Linked DNA regions of Oryctolagus cuniculus. The main gene of each other region encodes a partner of the protein of the gene in region 2 in a complex. Links are inferred from orthologs where the notes say so. Each region holds a gene or a part of one and is shown on either strand. Other genes may lie near its edges.

Region 1 (6,584 bases), on a different chromosome or scaffold from region 2:
TGTGTCCATGCACTTTCTGGAGCTCCCTACCTCTGTGCACACAGACACACATCTTGGTCCACTGTCGGATGAGGCCAGCGACGCTTCCCTCAACATGCTGCCCCTCCAAGCTCCAAGCTCCCCTGATCAGCTGAACCTTACCCTCCCCCCTCGGCCTGAGGCTCTCAGCAGAGCTGTGTATGTGGAGGTGGCACCACCTGCCCCCAGGGTTTCTGACTTATTGCTGTTTCCTCACAGGTGTGAGCTCACCGCGTGGCACACAGCAAGCATGCAATCACATCCTGGGAGATTGCACACACATCCGGGCTTTCCACTGTAGCTGGTCTTTCTTCCCCTGCCTTTCCAACACACCCTCCTTCCTCCATTTTCTTTCTCTCCTAGACCAAACATTGCAAATGCAGTTCCAGGTCCAGGCAGTAGGCACAGGAGCCTCTGCCTGGCAGGTCCCCGTGGGGGCAGCCCCTTTCTCATCACGATCTACTGTAGCCCGGTCCCCAGCCCCCGCTTCTGCTCTGTCTGGGCTACTAGAGCCTGAGGCCTGTCCACACGGCCTTCGGGCGTGGAGCAAGCACGGAAGCAGTGAGCAGACAGGACGGACTTCCTCTGAGCATGTAGCCTGGGCGTGGCAAGGAGACAAAGGACACAGGCAGAGGGTTCACACCAAGCCAGGGATTAGAACTCAGACCACTACGGCGCTACTGGTTTGTGCTTCAACACTGTTGAGCCCAGGTGGCTTAGACTTGTATGTCATCTCCTGGGCATCTCTCTTGACCTCTACTACTAACCTAGCCCCTCAACAAAGTAGAGCAGGACTCTGGCAACAGGAGATGGAAAAATTCACCAGGCAGTGAATGAGTGGAAAGAGGGTGGGTTTTTTGGTTGTTTTTGTTTGTTTGTTTGTTTGTTTGTTTTGTGGCCTAGAATTTCCTCTGGTGTGGCCTAGCACTACAATAGGGCGTGGCACCAGGGAAAGGAGGAAGCTGATTCCCACACGCACACACAGAGGAACACCCAATTTCTCTTTAATTCTCACATTCAAATCAGGAAGTCAGCACAGCCTTAAACAACACTTGCCAAGGTGGGTTATGGATGATGCTTAGGTCTGTGGCTCAGTTTGTATCAAAGGGAAAATGAGCCCTGGTCAAATTTGGAAACTAACATTGGTGAAACGTGAAACTTAAAATATGATGGCTGTCACACAATTCACAGCTAGATTTAAGGTCTACAGAGCAGGGATGTGTGTGTGTGTGTATGTGTGTGTGTGTGTGTTTCGCTTACTGTTGTTTCTCCAGTGGCTACAACTGTGGGTGGAACATAGTAGGTGCTTGATAGTCTGTGGAATGAAGGAATGTCTGAGGCAGCCCATGGCACGCCCATCCTTTCTCCATGATAAATGGCCCAAGCCCCACACAGAGTGACAACCAAGACTCACCACAATGCATTAGTGCCAGGTCCTAGGCTCACAGGTGCAGGAAAAGCCTCCAGGCCTCCAAATCGATAACAATTACAGAAGAGTATCTACTTTGCCAGAAAAGCTACTTAAATCTGACATTAGCCAGGAAACTAACGGCCATGACTGCAGTCCAATGTCAATAGATACAGTCCTTTAATAGCTCCAAGACCCGGGATGTTAAATACTGGAGACTCCAGTCCAAGACTGAGCTCTTAATCAAGGTCAGTGAGTCAGCAATATTTCCTGGTCATTTGAGGAAGGCAGGCGACACAGCCATAAGCTTCCTATTGAAATACTGCACACAGGCGGTCAGGGCCTGCTCCCCTCCACTGCAGACGTGCTGGGCCATCCAGCCCTGAAACTTCTGGACAAGAGATTTAGAAGTTGGTAGAAAGCTGTTACAGGATACACTAGTCCTGGTCTCATCTGAAATCTTCCTTCACCTGGCCTGAACATTACTTCTCCTGGATTCCATTACCTCAAATTCTACAAAGTGCAGGTGGGTGTGGGCTAAGGAGGGTTTCTCAGTGCTGTTTCTTCACTAACAGTGCTCTCTGGATTGCTGGGGGTTTTAGGACCTCCGACCTAATGATCATTTATTGCATTTGCTGGCTTCTAGCTGGGGTTGGCGTCACACTGGAGGGAGGAAGAGGGAATACAGCAGACCTGGACAAGGCCCCTGGGCTGCTGTCTCACATCAGGGAAGGTGGTCTCTAAGGAGGCAAAAGAGAGGCATTGAAAAGAAAGCAGAGAGGAGGCAGAAGCATGAAAAAGAATTTAATCAGGGCCAACTTCAAAGAAAGTTCCAGAAAAAATTCAGTGATTTATTCTTCCTACCCACCTGTCGGCCCCTCACCCCCAATTAGGCAGTGCCTGCACACAGAGCATGGTAAGCGGGTTCTTTCGGGCTAGCCTGGGAGCCTAAGCATTTTCAGTAACATCGTTTCCCTGGGAAAATGCATTCTGCATTCCAAATCACCAAGGTGTGGCCAGAAGGCTTCTCAGACCCAGGTAAAGGCCCAACGTGTACCCATCAGGCCACTGCTGTTTCACCCCCAGACTCCAATCACCCACAGCTTTAAAATGACAAATCTCACCACAAAAATGATACTTCACCCTTGTCTGGCGCCGTGCATTTGCAGTGCACTTTAAAGATTTAATTTTGAATGAACATGTTTTTTGAAATCTTCAATACATAGTCCTCCTTCGGGCAGAGGGAGTATAATGGGGGTCCTTAAACCACTTGCATAGGTAAGAAACCTGAGGGTCCACTCCTGTTTCTCCAGGGCCAGTCCATGGAACCCAGGCCCTGCCCAGCAGCCAGCTCCGAGCTGCAGGGAGCGGCTGGGCCACGCCCTTCTGGGCACTCCAGGTCCCTGACTCACTGCCGCATCACCGCAAGTAACAGTCAGGCCAGCCCTCCCCACAAGAACTCCGGGGACACTTCCTTCCCCATGCAAACGTGCTCAACCAAACGGAAAAGCCCCCAGATTGAGCACAATCTGAAACTGCTATCCTCCAAGATAATCTCTACGAAAGAGCAAAGAACTGAGGTTTCTGTTTTGTTTTATTGGGTGCACGGCTGGCTACTCAAAACTCCCACCCCACCCCCACCCCAGCCTCCCCTCTCAGGGGTCGGCTCAAGCTCCACAAACGCGCGTCCAGATCGCGTAAAGGGACTTTAAGCACACATGGGCGGCATTCTGGAGAGCGGTGGAACTCCAGCTCCACGCGGAGCGCACGGCCCCTAGCAGTCCGCAGCGCTCGGCGGCCACGCCCTGTCCCCCTCCCGGGCCCGGCACGTCTGGAATGCGGGGCCCCCAGTGCTCCCCTGCGTGAGCAGGCTCGCCCGCTACCCGCGAAGCCTCCATGGGAATGCACAGTCCGGTCCTCATGCTCCGCGCTCCCAGGCCTGGACACGAACGGCCCCACTCATCCCGCCCCGGACACCTGGCCTTGCGCCCCCCGCCCGCAGCAGCCCAAGTGCGCCCCGGTCTCCCCCGGCTCCCGGCCCGGCCGCTCGAGCCCCTCTCTGCAAGCCCCTTTCCCCCTTGCCAGCCTCCGCAGGCCCCGCTAGTGCTGCGGCCCCGGGCCATAGCGGGCGGGCGGCGGGTGTGGCGCGTCCCGCTTACCTGGGCCGGGCGCCGAGAGTTGCGAGCGTCTCCAGTTGCCGAGCGGAGCTGGCTGCCTTGGGTGGGGCTTTTATACCCGCCACATCCTCTCGGCCAGGCCCGCCCTGCCCGCCCCCACCCCGACTCGGGGTGACTCACGCTCGCCGGGCCGCTGGCCCGAGCGGGTAGCCACGCCCTGGAACGGCTGCGAGCCTCGCCGCGCGGGAGCGGCCCGACGCCCACGGCCCTGCCCAGGGTGGAAGCCCCGCCGAGACTTCCCCGAGGTCCGGGTTAGGCCGTCTCTTTTCCTCCCTTCCGGACTGGAGTGCCACGTCGAGTTCCTAGCCTGGGCTTCGGTTCCTAAATGGGCCACACTTTAGGAGAAATCACTTTATTTTCTTTTTTCTTTCTTTTTCTTTTCTTTTCTTTTTTTTTTTCTTTAGGCGCCAAAGCCCTGGAAGAAAGAATTGATCCAAGAAACATAAATCTGGATTCTCCTGCTCTGGGACGTTTGGCATCCAGCAACCCATTACCATCTGCAAACATATTAGCTTAACCTCTGGACGCCTGTTCCCGGAAGGAGAACGCGCAGGCCATGCGCCCCGGCCTCGGAGAGTGCCCCGAGCAGGGATCCCTCACCCCACCTCTGCACCGGGAGGCGCCCTCTTCCCCGGGGACTGCTGAGCTCTGCGTGCGTCAGCCTCTGGGACCCACCACTCTGCGCAGCCTTGTGACAGGCAGGCCCGAGCTGGGTGGGGCGCCTGGCTTTGAACCCCGAGTTGCAACGGAGAACTTTGATCCGTTCTTCCTTTTGTGACCGCCAGTTGCTTTCACTTGCCCCGAAGCCATTGAGCCAACTCCCTCGCTCGGTTTTGCTGTTTCTCGCTTTTCTTCCCCGGCACTACTTCCACGAGTGCCACTTGCAACTTGTGGCCGAGCACGTGTGACTGAGCCAGCGATGCATGCAGCTCTCAGACTGAGAGCTTGGCTAAAAACCCCACAGACTTTGAACTCCCTCCCTCCTTGCACACTCAGCCTAGGCAGTGTTTTTGCCCAGTCTGGCTGCTCCTGGGAGTCGGAGCGACAGCCAAGGCAACCAGACACTGAGTGCTGTGCTCAGGGTCACACAAATGGGTAGCTGCAAAATCCAGCCTAGGAAGGTTTCCTAGCACCCAGCCTGGGCTCTTTTCTCTAGGAATTAATTAGGCATGACAGGCACTGTCAGAAGGCTGGGCGAGGCAGAAGCTAGGAGTCAGGAACTCCATCCGGGTCTCCCCCATGGGTGCCAGGAACCCAAGTACATGAGCCATTCTCTGCTGCCTCCAGGTGCATTATGAAGAAGCTGGATTGGAAGGAGTTAAACCCACATGCTCCACTATGGGCTACAGGTGTCCCAAATGGAGGCTTAACCTGCTGAGTCCCAATGCCTGCCCCGAAAGCAACCCTTCTAATACAATTTCTAATGTGCATTCACAGCCTTTCAATTCAGAATGCGAGCTGTAAAGGCAGAAACCACATGGGTTGGTTTCCTGGGTGAGAACTGGAGGAACACAGGCAGGCAGTGATAATGGCGGGCAGGAGGTGGCCTCCCTCCCTCCTCTCCTCCGGCAGGTTCCATGCCAGCTCCTCACTGTGCTGCCTTGCCGCTGTGGGCATCTGCAGAGGGGGAAGAGCTAATGCGAACCAGGTGCAGTACAGATCAGTACAATAGCAAGGCTTTGCTTGGTGCTTGACAGAAATTCGCCGTGATGGTATCTTAGAAAACAAAGCTGTTAAGTCATGGTTGCTTATTTCGGAGGAATGTGAGGCCAGTTCTGCCAGTAAAAGAACTTTTGATTCTTAACCCAAAGATTCTCTTCTTCCTTTCTGCTCCCCAGCATGGCTTGGGGGGATGTTTGCTATAACAGAGCTCAGATTATGTCAGCTGTTGTGCGCATTGTCCTCTCAATGCCTGCCATTGTTCTGTTCACACTTTGTCTGCTGCACCTCAACACCTCTGAGAATGCCTAGCTAGCAATGCTAGGCTCCCACAAGTGATACAGCAGAGTTACGCACAGAATAATATAGAGCAAGGAGGGGCCTTAGAGATGAACTTCTCCTATCCTTCATGTTGACTTATGAGGAAATGAAAACCCACGTTGTCTCCGACCGAATCCAGGGATTCAACGGTGCATCCAAGGTCCCTGTATCTGTTCCATATTGCAATGTAACAAATTACTTCCCAAAACATGCACAACCATTTATTTGCTTATCATTCTGCAACTCGGGCACGACTCAGTGGAAACAGCTGAGCTCGGCTCTACGTGATGTTGGGTGGGGTTGAGTAGTTCAGTTGGAGTTGGAAGATGGCTGGTGGCTTTACTTATTTGTCTGGTGTGTTGGCTGGAGTTGCTAGAATGATGGAGAATAGGCTGAGCCTGTCTCATTCCTCCTGGTCCTCCTCACTCTGTACCAAGATAGTAACGGCAACTGGCTCTCCAGAAGCAACAGCTGAAACCGCCAGTGCTGGGGGCGTGACAGCTGTGCAAAGACAGGTGCTGGGGGATTTTGCCTATGAGCTGTAGTTTGCTGATCCTTGCTTTAATCCCTTGGTCTGCTCAGTTTCTGGCTTTGTCGTCTGGGCTCTGGGCTCCACCCTCTGAGACGCCTTTCCTTTTCCTAAACAGTAGTTCATATTTGTAACTCAGTACAATCTCAGTCTACGGCATGCCGGTAGAAACCCAAAGTTGTCTAGAAGCTTCTTTAAAGTTTGAACTGTTTCTCTGTCCAAGGTGACAGTCGTTTCATAAATACAAGTGTCTTAAAAACCATGTGGATATTCTGTAAGTCTTATTAGGTTAGCTTCATGCTTCAAAATCCATGGCCAATACACTTTTCTCAGAAACCCTATGAGAGTTATGTAAATCTTATTGGGGGTTAATCCCATACTCTGAGATTCATATTCATTATTTTATGTGAAAACAGACCTCTCTCCATGTTGTACAAGTTGGGCTGCAGGAAATATTGTGCTTACGATTCCA
Region 2 (6,573 bases):
CAGGGGGCTGGCCGGGGCCTCTGTGGGTCACACCCTCATCTGTGGCAGGGAGGATGGCCAGGCCCCTGGAGCAAGCAGTAGCTGCCATCGTGTGCACCTTCCAGGAGTACGCAGGGCGCTGCGGGGACAAATACAAGCTCTGCCAGTCGGAGCTCAAGGAGCTGCTGCAGAAGGAGCTGCCCACCTGGACCCCGGTGAGCACCTGGGCGCTGGGCCTTCCCCTTCCTGCGGGGAGACACTGCTGGGCCTCTACAGAGAGACCTGGGACAGCAAGAGGGGCCAAGGCTCGTGTGCAGTGGTGGGGGTGGGGGGCAGCAGGAACACAGTTCTCATCACACCTGCTGCCTGGCAGACCTGCGGGGAGGCTTGAGGGAGAGCCCCGGGAAGAATGCCCAGCACACAGTAGGCCCTCAGCGGCACATAGTAGGTGTTCAACATATGATCTGGGGTGGGGGAGTTGGAAGGAGTCTTGAAATGGGTGCCTTGTCAGGACAGGAAGGCTGGGGGCTGGGCTGGGCTGGGCTGGGCTGGGGCCACTCAGGAGCAGAGGGAGGGCCAGGGGGCGAGGCTGTCCTGCCTGTTTCACCCTGCCTCTCCCCCGACCTCCCTGCACAGACTGAGTTTCGGGAGTGTGACTACAACAAATTCATGAGCGTCTTGGACACCAACAAGGACTGCGAGGTGGACTTCGCGGAGTACGTGCGCTCTCTGGCCTGCCTCTGTCTCTACTGCCACGAGTACTTCAAGGACTGCCCTCCCCCAGAGCCCCCCTGCTCCCAGTAGCCTGTGCTGTAGTTGGGGGGGCGCCCCGGCAGGGCAGGATCCGCCCCAGGCTGTGCCATCTCTGCCCCCGGGTGGTCCTGGCTGTGCCTCCCACACCCCCTTCCCTTGGCCCTGTGTCCCCTGCAATGTGGAATCGTGCAGATCAGCCCTGCTGGAGGACCAGGGTGCCCAGCCAGTGAGGCAGCTCCCGCTCCCTGTCTGTGCAGTGGACGGAGGAGGCGGGGATGTGCCGTGGGCCCTGGAGGCCCGGCACGGTGCGTGCCAGCAAGACCAGGACGGGATGGGCCTTTCCGCTCCTAATAAAGAACAGGTGTCCATGTGGCGTGGTTTGGTTCTTCTGAGAGGCACGGGGCCTTGAGACACAGCCCTGTTGACAGCTTTGCTCTCCTCTGGTCTTTTCCACTGGGGAGCAAGGCTGAGGGCAGCAGCCAGAGCTCCCATGGGCCCTGGGAGCAGTTTCAGAGCCTGCAGAGATGCAATGGTTACAGTCAGCACAGGAACTCCCGTTCTGTCCGTCTGTCTCTCAGTCTTTGGAGGGGGGTGCTGTCAAGGAGGGCAAGGGGGCAGCCCGAGGTCCCAGGGGTGAGGGAGCTGCAGCTCGGGCCTCGTGACCGGATGCGCTGAGGAGGAGGGTGGGGTGGGGCGCTTGTTCCCTGCCCCGGGCTGTGGCAGCCCAGAGAGCAGCACTAATGGGATTAGGGTGTCTCAGGGGTTTGCTGCCAGCTGGGGTGGGGTCCTGTACTGGAGGCAGAAGGGGAGGGGGATAGCTTGAAGCGAGCCCCATCCCTGAAGCCACAACCCGCTGAGGCCCTTAAGCCCCCTCTGCTGCCCCTCACTCACCCCTGGACCCCCTGTGCCCCACCCTGAGGGGTCATCCCTGAACCTGACTCCCCCGTGTTGTGCCATGTCACCTCTATCTCTGCACCCCAAACTGCAATATTCATCCCTGACGCCCCCCTCAACCCCACACACCCCCTCCTGCCTACTCTGTGAGTCACAAGCCATACTGAGCCCCACACTGCACTCCCACCCCCACTCCACCAGGACCTCGCCCCTTGATGTACCTGGGCCATCTCACACCTGCCACCAGCCACCTGCCACCCCTGCCTCTCCTTTTCTCATGGCCGCTGGGACTACTTCCTCTGCAGCCCCCAGCCCCAGGCACTGCCCTCCCTCCCCGGCTCCCTGAAACTCTTGCTGGGCTGTGTGCACTGGGTGGTGCCTGCTCCATCAGCTCCCTGCTGGTGCCCACTGGGGCTGGCCCACTGCCCATGGGGGCCTGGCCGGGTCAGGATGCCCGGCAGCCGGCTGAGGCCATGGAGGGGCTGCCCGACTCACCACATCAGCCCACAGCAGGAGGGCAGTGTGCGCTCCCCCATCCCCTTGCCAGGGGCAGGGCCTGGCTGGGGTATAAATAGTCAGACCGCTGGGCTCTCCCCGCTCTTCCTCTCTCCCCAGCCCTCCTCCTCTGTGCTTCCTCTCTCGGCTTGGTGAGTTCTGTGGGCCTGACTGGCACGCGAGGGTGTCACGGGCTGAGGCTGGGTGGGGGAAGGACAGCCTGGTGGGGGCCAGATGTGCTGAATGGACCCAGATGCACAGGCTCTGGGGTGCATGGAAGAGAGAAAAGGCAAGAAGAAAAGTGTGCAGCAGCTGGGTTTGAGCGCCCCCTCCCCGCCCCAGCCCTTCTGAGAAACTGGGGCTTGTGCAGTGTGTGCCTGAGCTGGAGATGTGCACCCTGCTGCGGGGTTGCTGGGCTGCACAAGTGTGCACCCTCGGGTGCAGGAAGAAAGCAAAGGCAACCGAGGGCTTCCTCTGCTCCCGCTCTGTGAGCCCCTGCTCTGCACCCGGCAGCTCAGCCCGGCAGAGCCCTGGCCTCCCACCCAGCCCTGGCACCCCTGCCTCCGCCACCTCACCGGCCCCTCCCAATGACGGGCTGGGTGCCAGGCTGCCGGTTTTTTCCGCTGCAGGCCCCCATGCAGGCCTCTAGCTGCCGCGCCCAGCGCTGGGAGGGAGAAGAATGGGCTGGGGCGGCCGTTGTGGCTGAGCTGTGGGAGTGGACGGGTGAGGGAGGGGTGGAAGAACGCTGTTGTTGGGATGAGGCCTGCAGCCACCTCCGGAGCTTGCTGCCTGGCTCCCTGGAGCCCATGCCACGAACCCCACAAAAGTCCACGGTCCCAAGTATGCATTCCCCCCCCCCGCACCCCTCCCCACCAATAGCTGTGCCCGCCTCTCTGGGTGTCCCCGAGGGCCAGAGAAGTGTCATCAAGGGCCTCTTGAGGGATGGGAGTGCAGGCGGGCATTCGGAACACATGGCTGGGGAGCAGGGGAGGATAAGGGTGCCCGTGCCTCCCGCCCTCAGATCCTGACCGCTGCCATGGCGTGCCCCCTGGAGAAAGCCCTGGACGTGATGGTGGCCACCTTCCACAAGTACTCGGGGAAAGAGGGTGACAAGTTCAAGCTCAACAAGTCGGAGCTAAAGGAGCTGCTGACCCGGGAGCTGCCCAGCTTCTTGGGGGTGAGTGGGTCCCCTGGGAGCAAGCACCCTCCCCCATCCCCAGCCCCCAACCCCCTGCAGGGGAGGCGCAGGCTCTATGAGGCTGCAGGCTTTTTGTGGAATATCAGCTAAAGCTGGTGTTTCTGACTGTGTGGGGAAACTGGGGAGCAGGGAGCCTGCATGGGGTGCAAACACGGCCCCAGCAGAAAGAAGGCTGAGAGAGAACAGGGAGGTTAGGGGCCAGACCCTCTGTCAGGTGCTCTGTACATCTTAAGTGAAAGGGAAAAAAACAAAAACAAAAAACTCAGAGTTAAGTATTTCCCAAGGTAGTGCATGTACAAAACTGGTCTGGACTAAGACCGCCGACTGCCCATTCTTCACTCCAACAGTGAAGGGCTGGAGTTTCCATTTGGCTCATAGATGTGCAGACACAGGTATAGAGACTCAACACACCTAAGATGTCCCCCCCAACAACAGCGTCTACACCTGCATCAAGCAGTCCACCATTTACAAGAGGGTATTGCAAAAAGTTCATGGGAAGTGGCATGAAAAAGCAAGTTTATTTTGGTGCAAAATTTTGAAATCTATAGTTTTAAAAATAATACTCATTTTCATGAACCCTTTGGAGAGTCTTGGGAAGCATGGGTTTCAAACATTTTTGTACCAAAAGGAACTTATTTTTAAATTATATTTCCGGGGCTGGGCATGGTGGTACAGTAGGTTAAACTTCCGCCTGCAATGCTGGCATTCCATATGGGCCCCAGTTCAAGTCCCTGGTGCTTTGCTTCCAACCCAGCTCCCTGTTAATGTGCCGGGAAAGTGGCAGAAGTTGGCCCAGGTACTTGGTCCCTTGTCACCCACATGAAAGACCCAGATGGAGTTCCAGGCTCCTGACTGTGGCCTGTCCCAGCCTTGGCAGTTGAAGCCATCTGGGGAGTAAGCCGGCACATGGAAGAGCTCTCTCTGTCTCTCCCTCTATAACTATGCCTTTCAAATAAAAAAAAAAATTCTGTTTCCACAAACTTTCTGCAGTAGCTGGCATATGCTGTCATGATCATTACCTCACTGGATCATGAGGACAACCTCTAGGGAAGGCGTGTGGTCACTTCGTTTTGCACCTGCACCAGGTCCTCAGACGTCCCCATCCAAGGAGTACTCCCGTTGGCGCTGGTGTGGCCCTGAGGGTTGGGGTCCGAGGCTGGGCCCCCCACAGGAGAGCTGCAGGTGCCAAACTGGTCTAGCCCTGCTCTACCCCCGTGGCTTCTGCTTTCTCCCTCCAGAAAAGGACGGACGAAGCCGCGTTCCAGAAGCTGATGAGCAACTTGGACAGCAACAAGGACAACGAGGTGGACTTCCAGGAGTACTGCGTCTTCCTGTCCTGCATCGCCATGATGTGCAATGAGTTCTTCGAAGGTTTCCCTGATAAGCAGCCCCGGAAGAAGTGAAGGCTCCTCAGATGCCGCTGGGGGGCCCGCCCGCTGGGGTCTTCCCTGTCTGCAGTGGGCACAGCACCTTAGTCCCGCCCCTTGAGACATGTGCACCACGCTGAGCAACTTTAATAAAGAGTCTTAACACCTGTGAGGCTCTCAGTCTGTGACTCTGGGGGCGTGTGGGGTTGGGGGCTGAGGGATGTGTGTGTGGTGGTGGGGGGGGGTAGGGCTGGGGGTGCTGGGACTTGAGCTGCTGGGTTGCAGATCCCAGGAGTGAAGGCTGGGAGGGAGCAGGAGTGACTGAGGGTGTGTGTGTGTGTGTGTGCAGGCATGCGTGTGACCCAGAGGACAGGGGTGGGGCCCAGGCAGGGAAGGAGACCACCAGGGCTTGGAGGGCGGGGCTGTGGCACTGAGCCAGCCCACTCACCCTTTCCAGCTCCCACCAACCATGCCTCTGGCCAATCCCTGAACTGAGGTTACTACGATGGGAAGGTCACATCTGTTTCTAGTTGGGGTCTGGAGAGAAGAGAACGGAGCTGAGTCAGGCGGAGGGAGTAGCCAAGCCAGAGCAGCAGGGGGAGGGGGCTAGCGCTCAGCCCCAACATTTGCAGCCTACGCCTGTCCTGCCTCCCCTTCTAGCTCATTGGCTTCACACCACAGGGGCGGGTTCATCCTGGCCTGTCCCGGGTCGGCCCGGATCAGCGGGGGCAGGATGCAGGGGCAGCGCGCAGCCTCCAGCGCCCGGGTTGTCGCTGGGGCTCTCCGACCCGCGATCCCTGCCCCCAGGCCCCTGGAGCGGGAAACGAGGAGTGGGGGTGGGGCTGGGGCAAAGACAAAAGGCCGGACTTGAGAAGAGGGGACCCAATGCTGCCTCGGCTTAGAGTCTGGGGCTGACTGAGGCTGTACCTGAAGCGAGTGGGTGTCAGGCCCCGAGGCCCGGGGGTTTGGTCCCCCTTTCCTCTCATCCCACTGAGCTTTCCCCTCAAGTTTCAGGGGAGGGGGCGGTGACTCATATGTTTCCCCCACCCCAGTGGGACTGCAGCGACCTGGGTAGGACCTTGGCTCTCCTCCTCCCAGCCTGGCCACCGCCCGCCTCCGCGCGGTCCTCCCGGGGCAGCCTCCCTCGCGGCTCTCTCTTCGGAAACTCCTGCTGCCTAGCGACCGACCTCGCCAGCGGGAGCGCCGGGGCTTCAGCCATAGTGGGCACTCACCCTCAGAGCAACACCTGAGTGTCCCCCAGGATACGACCCCACCCCATCCATGACTGCGCCCTGAACCCAAGCCCCAGCTCCATCCCATCCTGGGGTCCCCGCGTGTCTACCTCCCCTCCTTAGTTCCTAGTTCTCAGCCGTCAGTGTCAAGACTCCAGCAAGTCCCCATGAGACAACCATTTATTTAAAGCTTTGTAAAAACCACACTGGCTGATGGATGACCTTGCCCTTGACAAGGAAATATCTTCCTCCGGGGATCCCCGCCTCCAGGTGGTCTTCTCTGCTCTTGAGGTGGGTGGGAAGGTCTCCAAGAGGAGAGTGGCCGGGGGACATGGGGCACATCCGGTGTGTGGCTCTAGGCTTCCTGTGGTTCAGTCAGACTGTGAATTCTGCTTTTTGGTTGAGAGTGGAGTGTGAGCAGGTGAACTCAGTGTGCCCCACACCCCTGTTTGTAAACAAGGAAAGGGAAATTGGCAGAGGGGTTTCTCCTGGCCCATCCCTGGAGATTCTGACCAGGGCCTCCAGATGTCCCTGACCCCTTCTCATTGGCCCTTTCTATCCCCTGGGCTCCTGGGGGCTGGGAACAAGGAATAAAGCGAGAGCAGGGAGTGGGAGGCTGCATCTGCTTTGAGCGGAGTTTCTGGGCTGGTGCTCT
Region 3 (6,057 bases), on a different chromosome or scaffold from region 2:
AGTAGAGTTCACAAAGCAAATACAATAATCGCACTCTACTCTGCACCAAGTAGACCACGGGGCTGTGGGAAGATCAGCCGAGGTCAAGGGTAAACTGGGCCCTGGGCAGGAGTTGAAGGGAGACAGAATATATTTAGGCCCCACGTGGAAGAGCCTTGAACTTCCCCAGCTGCCACCACCAGACATGGAGCTCTGCAAGGCACAGGAGGCAGGACTTGGGGACCAGCTGGGTACACGGCCCTGGGGTTTTCCAGGGAGACCCCAGCTGACTACTTGCTGGGGGTGTTCCAGAGGGGACTCTGCAGGTGGAAGCCGGACCACCAAAGCCCTCTGACACCCACCGGTTCCTCCACGCTACCTGCTCTGACGGGTTGTTAATGACAACCCCAACATACGGACACCTTATGCCCTCATTGCCCAAGTGCTTCACACAGATTAACGACTCTAAGTCCTGTAATCATGAGACAAACCCATCGTCCCCCTGCACAGACAGGGAAACTGAGGCACGGGGTACTTTTGCCCCAAGGAACACAGGCGCTGTCTGGGGCTGAGCAGTCTGATGCCGGCACTGCTCTGCGGGACTGGCCGCGGCACGGCAGAGCGCAGAGTGCAGGGTCACCAGGAGGCCCCTCCCCTGAAAGCAGCCCGGCTGCGCCCGCAGGGGCTGGGGAGGCCCCGCACCCGCTTGGTCTGCTCCAGCTGCTCCGCCAGCTCCTCCACGGCCTGCGAGTGCTTCTGCCGCATCTCCTGGATCTGGGCCTCGTGGGTCCGCGCCTCGTCCTCGAGGGTCTTCTTCAGAATGTTCACTTCCTGCTCGCGTTTGGACCTGGACGGGGAAAACCCCTCAGAGCGGAGGCCGAGACCCGGCAGCCCTTCCCGGCACAGCCCCCGTCTGCAGCTTCTCTCCCCACCGGCCCCCTGCTCGGCTACTACAGGCCCTTGTACAGGCTCAGAGCCCACCCTCGCTGCGCCCTCCAAAGCCACGCTCCCCGCAGATCTGCTAGGCAGAGGGCAACGGCCGAGGAAGGCCCGGCTCCGCGCTCTCTGGACGTGGTGAGCCGTGTGCAGCACTGCTCCGGGCCCCCCGCCCTCGTGGCCAGGCCAGGCGGCCCCAGGCCACACCTGAGCTCCTGCTGCGCAGCAGTGGAGTCCAGGGTGTCCTCCAACTCTGTCTTCAGCGCCTCCAGCTCCTCCCCGAGGTCCCGCTTCTGCTTCTCGGCCTTGTTCCTGGAGGCGCGCTCGGACTCCAGGTCCTCCTGGAGCTCGGAGATCTGAGATTCCAGCTCCCGGATCTTCTTGAGGGCCATGTTCTTCTGGGCAGCCTCTTCTTCCACTCTGCCAGAGAGACGCTGTCAGCCTGAGGCCGTGTCCCCTGCAGGGCTCCGCCCGCAGGAGAGGCCTTAGAGGGGCAGCGGGGCAGCCAGCGCTGTCTATGCAGGTACATCATGGCAGTTCAGTGGCTCTCAGCAGAAACATGAGGTATCCCAGACCCGGAACACCTCAGAGAAACCCCTTCACCTTCCAAATGACACACACACACACACACACACACACACACACAATGGGGCCAGCACTGTCCTGTGGTGCAGCAGGCTAAAGCCATGGCCTGCAGCACCAGTACCCCACAGGGGTGCTGGTTAGAGTCCTGGCTGCTCCAATCCTGACCCATTACTCCCTGCTAATGTTCCCGAGGGAGCAGAGGAAGATGACCCAGGTGCCTGGGCCTGTGTACCCGTGTGGGAGACCAGGAAGCAGCTCCTGGTGCTTGGCTCTGCCTGGCCCACCTCGGCCGTTGTGGCCATTAGGGAGTGAACCAGCAGATGGAAGACCTTTCTCTCTGCCTCTCCTTCTATGTCTGCCTGTCTCTCTCTCTCTCTCTTTCTCTGTTTAACGCTGGCTTTCAAGTAAATAAATTTTCAAAAAAATTAACTTTAAAATGTTACACGAAAAAGGAAATACTCTAAAAAGCTACAGTCCATCAGACGGCAACTAAGTGGCAGGCAATGAGCTGTGGGCTTTGCATGGTTTTGTCTCACTGAAGGTTCACCGAGTGTTGACATCGGCAGAGGCCGTGCGTGGGGGAGGCGGGCAGGGTTTAGATGGGAAGTCTGTATGTTCTGCTCAATCTTGCAATGAATCTAAAACTAGAAAAATCAAGTCTGCTTTTTTAAACAAATGTGTGCCTATAGCCAAGAATTTTTTTAAAAAGAAAGTATTGTGGGCGGGAGACAGAGCTGTGGGTGGTTCTGGATTACCAAGGAGAAAGCCGCCCAGCACCCCAGCACCCCAGCACCCCAGCCTGTGCCGCTGGTGCCTGAGAACTTCTGCAGCCGCAGCGGAGGGGACGCTCGCGCTCGCTGGCGCGGCGAGCCTGGGCAGGGCGTGCTCTGGCCGGCGGCCACGTGGGAGCCCGGGCCTCACCTGGCCAGCGCGGCCTGCAGCTCCTCCTCCTTCTTGGCCAGCTGCATCTTGAGCTCGGCGATCTGCGCCTGCAGCTCGGCGATCTGGTCGCTGAGGTCGGTGGAGTCTCCCTCCAGCTTCCGGCGCGTCTTCTCCAGCTCCTGCCGCTGCTTCTCCTCCCTGCGGAGGCGCTCTGGGGGTGGGGGTGGGGGGACCTCAGCGGCTGCAGCTCTTCTGTGTTCAACGACTTACACAGCCAGGGCCAGAGGCCTTCGCGACACACAGCCAGTCACACCTGACCCCTGGATGCGGGACAAGAGCGCTGCCACGTGCGGTCCGGTGCCTGCCGGGCCTGTCTGCTCTGCCCTGCGGGCACACCATAGCTTCCTTCTCCAGCCCACGGGGACAGGTGTGTGACTCTCAGTGCACAAGGCCGAGCGCCGGATGGCACTGCTGGGTCAGGGGCACGCAGCAGGTGGGGGGGGGGGGTGTGTTTCTGACTCATCTACAGCTTCCTTAACACTTGCTGGTGTCAAACGTCTGTCAACCTGGTGGTCCTGCCCTCCGGGACGCCTTGGAAGGCCAAGTCCTGCAGACTCCTCCCCGTCACACACACACACACACGAGGGGTTGGCAGGGCTGGGACACTAGGCTGGGGAGGACGCCGCCGGCCGGCAGCCCATATCCACCCCACGTTCACCAGCCGGGCGCGGGGCTCCTCCAGCTGTGTCAGGCTCTCTCCCTCCCCGAGCTGTCCACGCCTCTCAAGGGGCTGGGGGTCTCAGCCAGCCATAGGCCTTCTACCGAGGCCTCCTGACCGCCACAGTCCCCAGAACACAGGAAACGAGGCAGGGCCGGCGAGCCTGGCCCACATCCAACCACCATCTCCTGCGGTCTCCCCAGCAGCTCGAGTGCGGCACAGCGGGCGACACAAGGGTCTGCTCTGAACCACGATTCCTGGGAACCAGCCAGAGCAACCAGGTGCTGCCGCGTGCCCTGGCCATCTCGCGCCTCACGGCAGCAGCCGAGCGCTGGGTCACGGGAGCCAGGGCCCCCGGCAGGCGGCCCAGGCCACGCCCTCACCTTCCAGGTCTGTGATCATCGCCTCGTGCTTGTTCTTGAGCTTGGCCAGGCTCTTGGACTTCTCCTCCTCCTCCATGAGGTTGGTGGTGAACTCGGCTATCCTGTCTTCCAGCAGCTTCTTCTCCTGAGGGGCGGGGGCGGGCCAGGCTGAGCGGGAGCGCACAGGACGCCGCAGCCCTCCTCAGAGCGCAGCCGGCCCAGGAGCGCAGGAGCAGGCACAGGCGAGGCCTGGCTGCAGGAGCACGGGACCTGCCGCACGAAGCCACCAAGGCGCCCCGGCTCCGCAGGGGACAGATGCACAGTGCCACACGGAGGGCCTGACTCGTCTCAAAAGCCAGCGAAGAGCTCGACTGCGGGGCAACGGCGAAGCTCCCTGGGGCCGCTCATTCGGGGGAACCCCCCGTGTGGCTCCGGGAGGGGGCCGCCCGGGCAGCCACGCGCGCCTGGCCCACCTTGGCCAGCTTGCAGTTCTGGTCCTCCATGATGATCTGCTCCTCCTCCAGCTTCTTCAGCTTGGCCTCCGTGGTCACCTTCTCCAGCTGCAGCTTCTGCCGGGCGCTCTCCTCCTCCTCCAGCTGCTCCTCCAGTTCCTGCCGGGAGCCGGAGAGAGGGTGGGAACGGTGGCTCTGCGAGCCCGGCAGCTTGGCCGGGATGCAGCCCAGCCCTGCAGGAGGGGTCACGCATCTGAAGCTGGGGTGCCAGGCAAGACGCCCGCAGTACTGCTCTGGGGGTCCCCTTTAGCCAGCTTCCCACTGGGCAGAGCGTGGAGGACAGGGCTGCCGGCCCTCCACTCCCAGGTCCCAGAGCAAGGGCTGCAGGGAGGCAGAACGGCCTTTGCCATGCCGGGGAGGGCAGAGCGCAGGGAGAGCTGAGAGGCCCGGATGGAACAGCCAGCCCCTGGGGGAGGCCCGTCAGCTGTGCCCATGGGCAGCGCGGGCACGCAGACCCGGACTCCTGTCCTGAGTTGGTGGGGCCTGGCGGGGAGCCCGACTCCCGTCCCGAGTCAGGGCCTGGCGGGGACTCCTGCCTTAAGTCGGTGGGGCCTGGCAAGAAGCCCGACTCCTGTCCCCACGTTGAGTCAGGGCCCGGCAGGGACTCCCGTCCCGAGTGGGCGGGGCCCGGCGGGGACTCCCGTCCCGAGTGGGCGGGGCCCGGCGGGGACTCCTGTCCCGGGTCAGGGTCCGGCGGGGACTCCCGTCCCGAGTGGGCGGGGTCCGGCGGGGACTCCCGTCCCGAGTCGGCGGGGCCCGGCGGGGACTCCCGTCCCGAGTGGGCGGGGCCCGGCGGGGACTCCCGTCCCGAGTCGGCGGGGCCCGGCTACCTGGATGTTCTGCTGCATCTTCTTCTTCTCGGCCTGCAGGTGCTGGCAGCGCTCCTCCTCCTCCTCCACCCGGGCCTCCAGGTCGTGGCAGATCTCCTCCAGCTCCTGCTTCTTGGCAGTCAGGCGGGCGCGGAGCTCCTCGGCCTCGGCGCACAGCTCCGTCTCTGCCTGGAGCTGCTCCTGCAGCTGCAGCTTCTCTGCCATGAGCTGCAGCGGGCACACGGAGCGCAGAGCACGCGCTTGCACCCTCCTCCCGGGGCTCCGGGGCTCCCGGGCACCTTCCAGACACCGTGTCCTCAAGACCTCCAAGAACCAGCCGGCCTCCAACGCATACCCCGGGAGAGACTAACCACCCTGCTCCTCCGGCACCTGGGGCAGCAAACGTGCCTCCCCCGGTGGCCAGCAGGGGGCAGCACCCACCTGAGACTGCAGCGTCTCCATCTCCGTGAGCCTGTTCTCTGCCGCCAGCTGCTTCTCCCGCACCTTCACCAGCTCCTCCTCCTTGGCAATCATCTCCTCCTCCTGCCGGCTCACTTGCAGCAGCGGCTTGACCTGGGGAGGAGAGACACAGCTCGCTGGAGGCCGAGGCCACGCGACACACCAGGAGGAGCCACGGGGGGTGGACGTCAGGGCGGTCTGCGGGCCACAGGCCGCCGACCTGCCCGCTGCATCTCGGGGCGGCCATGCCGGGGCGGCCATCCCCGGGCACGAGGACGTCCACAACAACGGGACATCTCGAAGGCCACGCTCGCGCAGGAATTTTAAACGGAGAATGCGGAATACAAGACTGTTTACATGAGGGAAGGCTCAGCTATGCGGGAATGCGTGTGGTCTACACAGCTGAGATGTACCGGGCGAAGAGAGTGAGGACAAACACTGAACTCACTGCTGCTGGCTCAGGGTGAGGGAATTCTGGGTGAACTTCCATTTTCTGCTTCATACGTTTTTTAAAAAAGTTCTTACATATTATATACGATAAACAAAAAGCAAGCTGAACAACCTTAGAAATAAAGGGAATTTTTAAAAGGCTAGGGAGGGCCAGCCTGGTTGTGTACGACGCCTCAGGGTGGCTTCCCGAGAAGGCAGGGCCCCGGCAGGGCGTGGGGCTGCAGAGTCCGGAGCCTTTGCTGGCGGGAGCTGCTCATTGAGCCAGCCCAGCCCAGCCCCAGAGCAGGCCATGGCCACGGCCACGGCCAGCAGGCCAAGGACCACAGGGCCCAACTGCCGTGGGGGTAGTGGGCCCTCACAGAGGC

What was found.
Region 1: the proteins of protein S100-A4 (region 2) and ANXA2 are in contact, whole or in part, in a crystal structure (PDB 5LPU), measured with the Homo sapiens proteins. The link is inferred for Oryctolagus cuniculus from reciprocal best matches to the Homo sapiens genes S100A4 and ANXA2. Residues at the interface, in NP_002952.1 of Homo sapiens: Lys35, Leu38, Pro43, Ser44, Phe45, Leu46, Gly47, Lys48, Arg49, Thr50, Asp51, Ala54, Phe55, Lys57, Leu58, Asn61, Leu62, Gln73, Phe78, Cys81, Ile82, Met84, Met85, Glu88, Phe89, Phe93; in NP_001002857.1 of Homo sapiens: Leu13, Glu14, Pro21, Ser22, Ala23, Tyr24, Ser26, Val27, Lys28, Tyr30, Thr31, Asn32, Phe33, Glu36, Arg37, Leu40, Thr44, Gln69, Asp70, Phe73, Arg77, Arg78.
Region 3: the proteins of protein S100-A4 (region 2) and MYH9 are in contact, whole or in part, in an NMR structure (PDB 2LNK), measured with the Homo sapiens proteins. The link is inferred for Oryctolagus cuniculus from reciprocal best matches to the Homo sapiens genes S100A4 and MYH9. Residues at the interface, in NP_002952.1 of Homo sapiens: Leu38, Ser44, Phe45, Leu46, Gly47, Lys48, Arg49, Thr50, Asp51, Ala54, Phe55, Lys57, Leu58, Asn61, Leu62, Ser64, Gln73, Glu74, Cys76, Val77, Phe78, Ser80, Cys81, Ile82, Met84, Met85, Cys86, Glu88, Phe89, Phe90; in NP_002464.1 of Homo sapiens: Thr1906, Ala1909, Met1910, Glu1913, Val1914, Ser1915, Leu1917, Lys1918, Lys1920, Leu1921, Arg1922, Asp1925, Leu1926, Pro1927, Phe1928, Val1929, Val1930, Pro1931, Arg1932, Met1934, Ala1935.

Annotation. Positions count from the first base shown.
Region 1 is NC_091443.1:83,306,787-83,313,370, forward strand, and holds the start of ANXA2 (annexin A2), read right to left. Parts: upstream 3,879-6,584; 5' UTR 3,586-3,878; intron 1,953-3,585; exon of another isoform or gene 1,681-1,952; intron 1-1,680. UniProt on the Homo sapiens protein: Calcium-regulated membrane-binding protein whose affinity for calcium is greatly enhanced by anionic phospholipids. It binds two calcium ions with high affinity. May be involved in heat-stress response.
Region 2 is NC_091438.1:44,753,733-44,760,305, forward strand, and holds protein S100-A4, read left to right. Parts: upstream 1-2,750; 5' UTR 2,751-2,877; coding exon 2,878-2,961; intron 2,962-3,142; coding exon 3,143-3,298; intron 3,299-4,557; coding exon 4,558-4,722; 3' UTR 4,723-4,853; downstream 4,854-6,573. Other genes in the region: S100A3 (protein S100-A3), read left to right, coding at 54-194, 616-783. UniProt on the Homo sapiens protein: Calcium-binding protein that plays a role in various cellular processes including motility, angiogenesis, cell differentiation, apoptosis, and autophagy.
Region 3 is NC_091442.1:113,574,211-113,580,267, forward strand, and holds part of MYH9 (myosin-9), read right to left. Parts: intron 5,357-6,057; coding exon 5,225-5,356; intron 5,012-5,224; coding exon 4,805-5,011; intron 4,074-4,804; coding exon 3,936-4,073; intron 3,608-3,935; coding exon 3,484-3,607; intron 2,594-3,483; coding exon 2,422-2,593; intron 1,336-2,421; coding exon 1,123-1,335; intron 827-1,122; coding exon 682-826; intron 1-681. UniProt on the Homo sapiens protein: Cellular myosin that appears to play a role in cytokinesis, cell shape, and specialized functions such as secretion and capping. Required for cortical actin clearance prior to oocyte exocytosis. Promotes cell motility in conjunction with S100A4.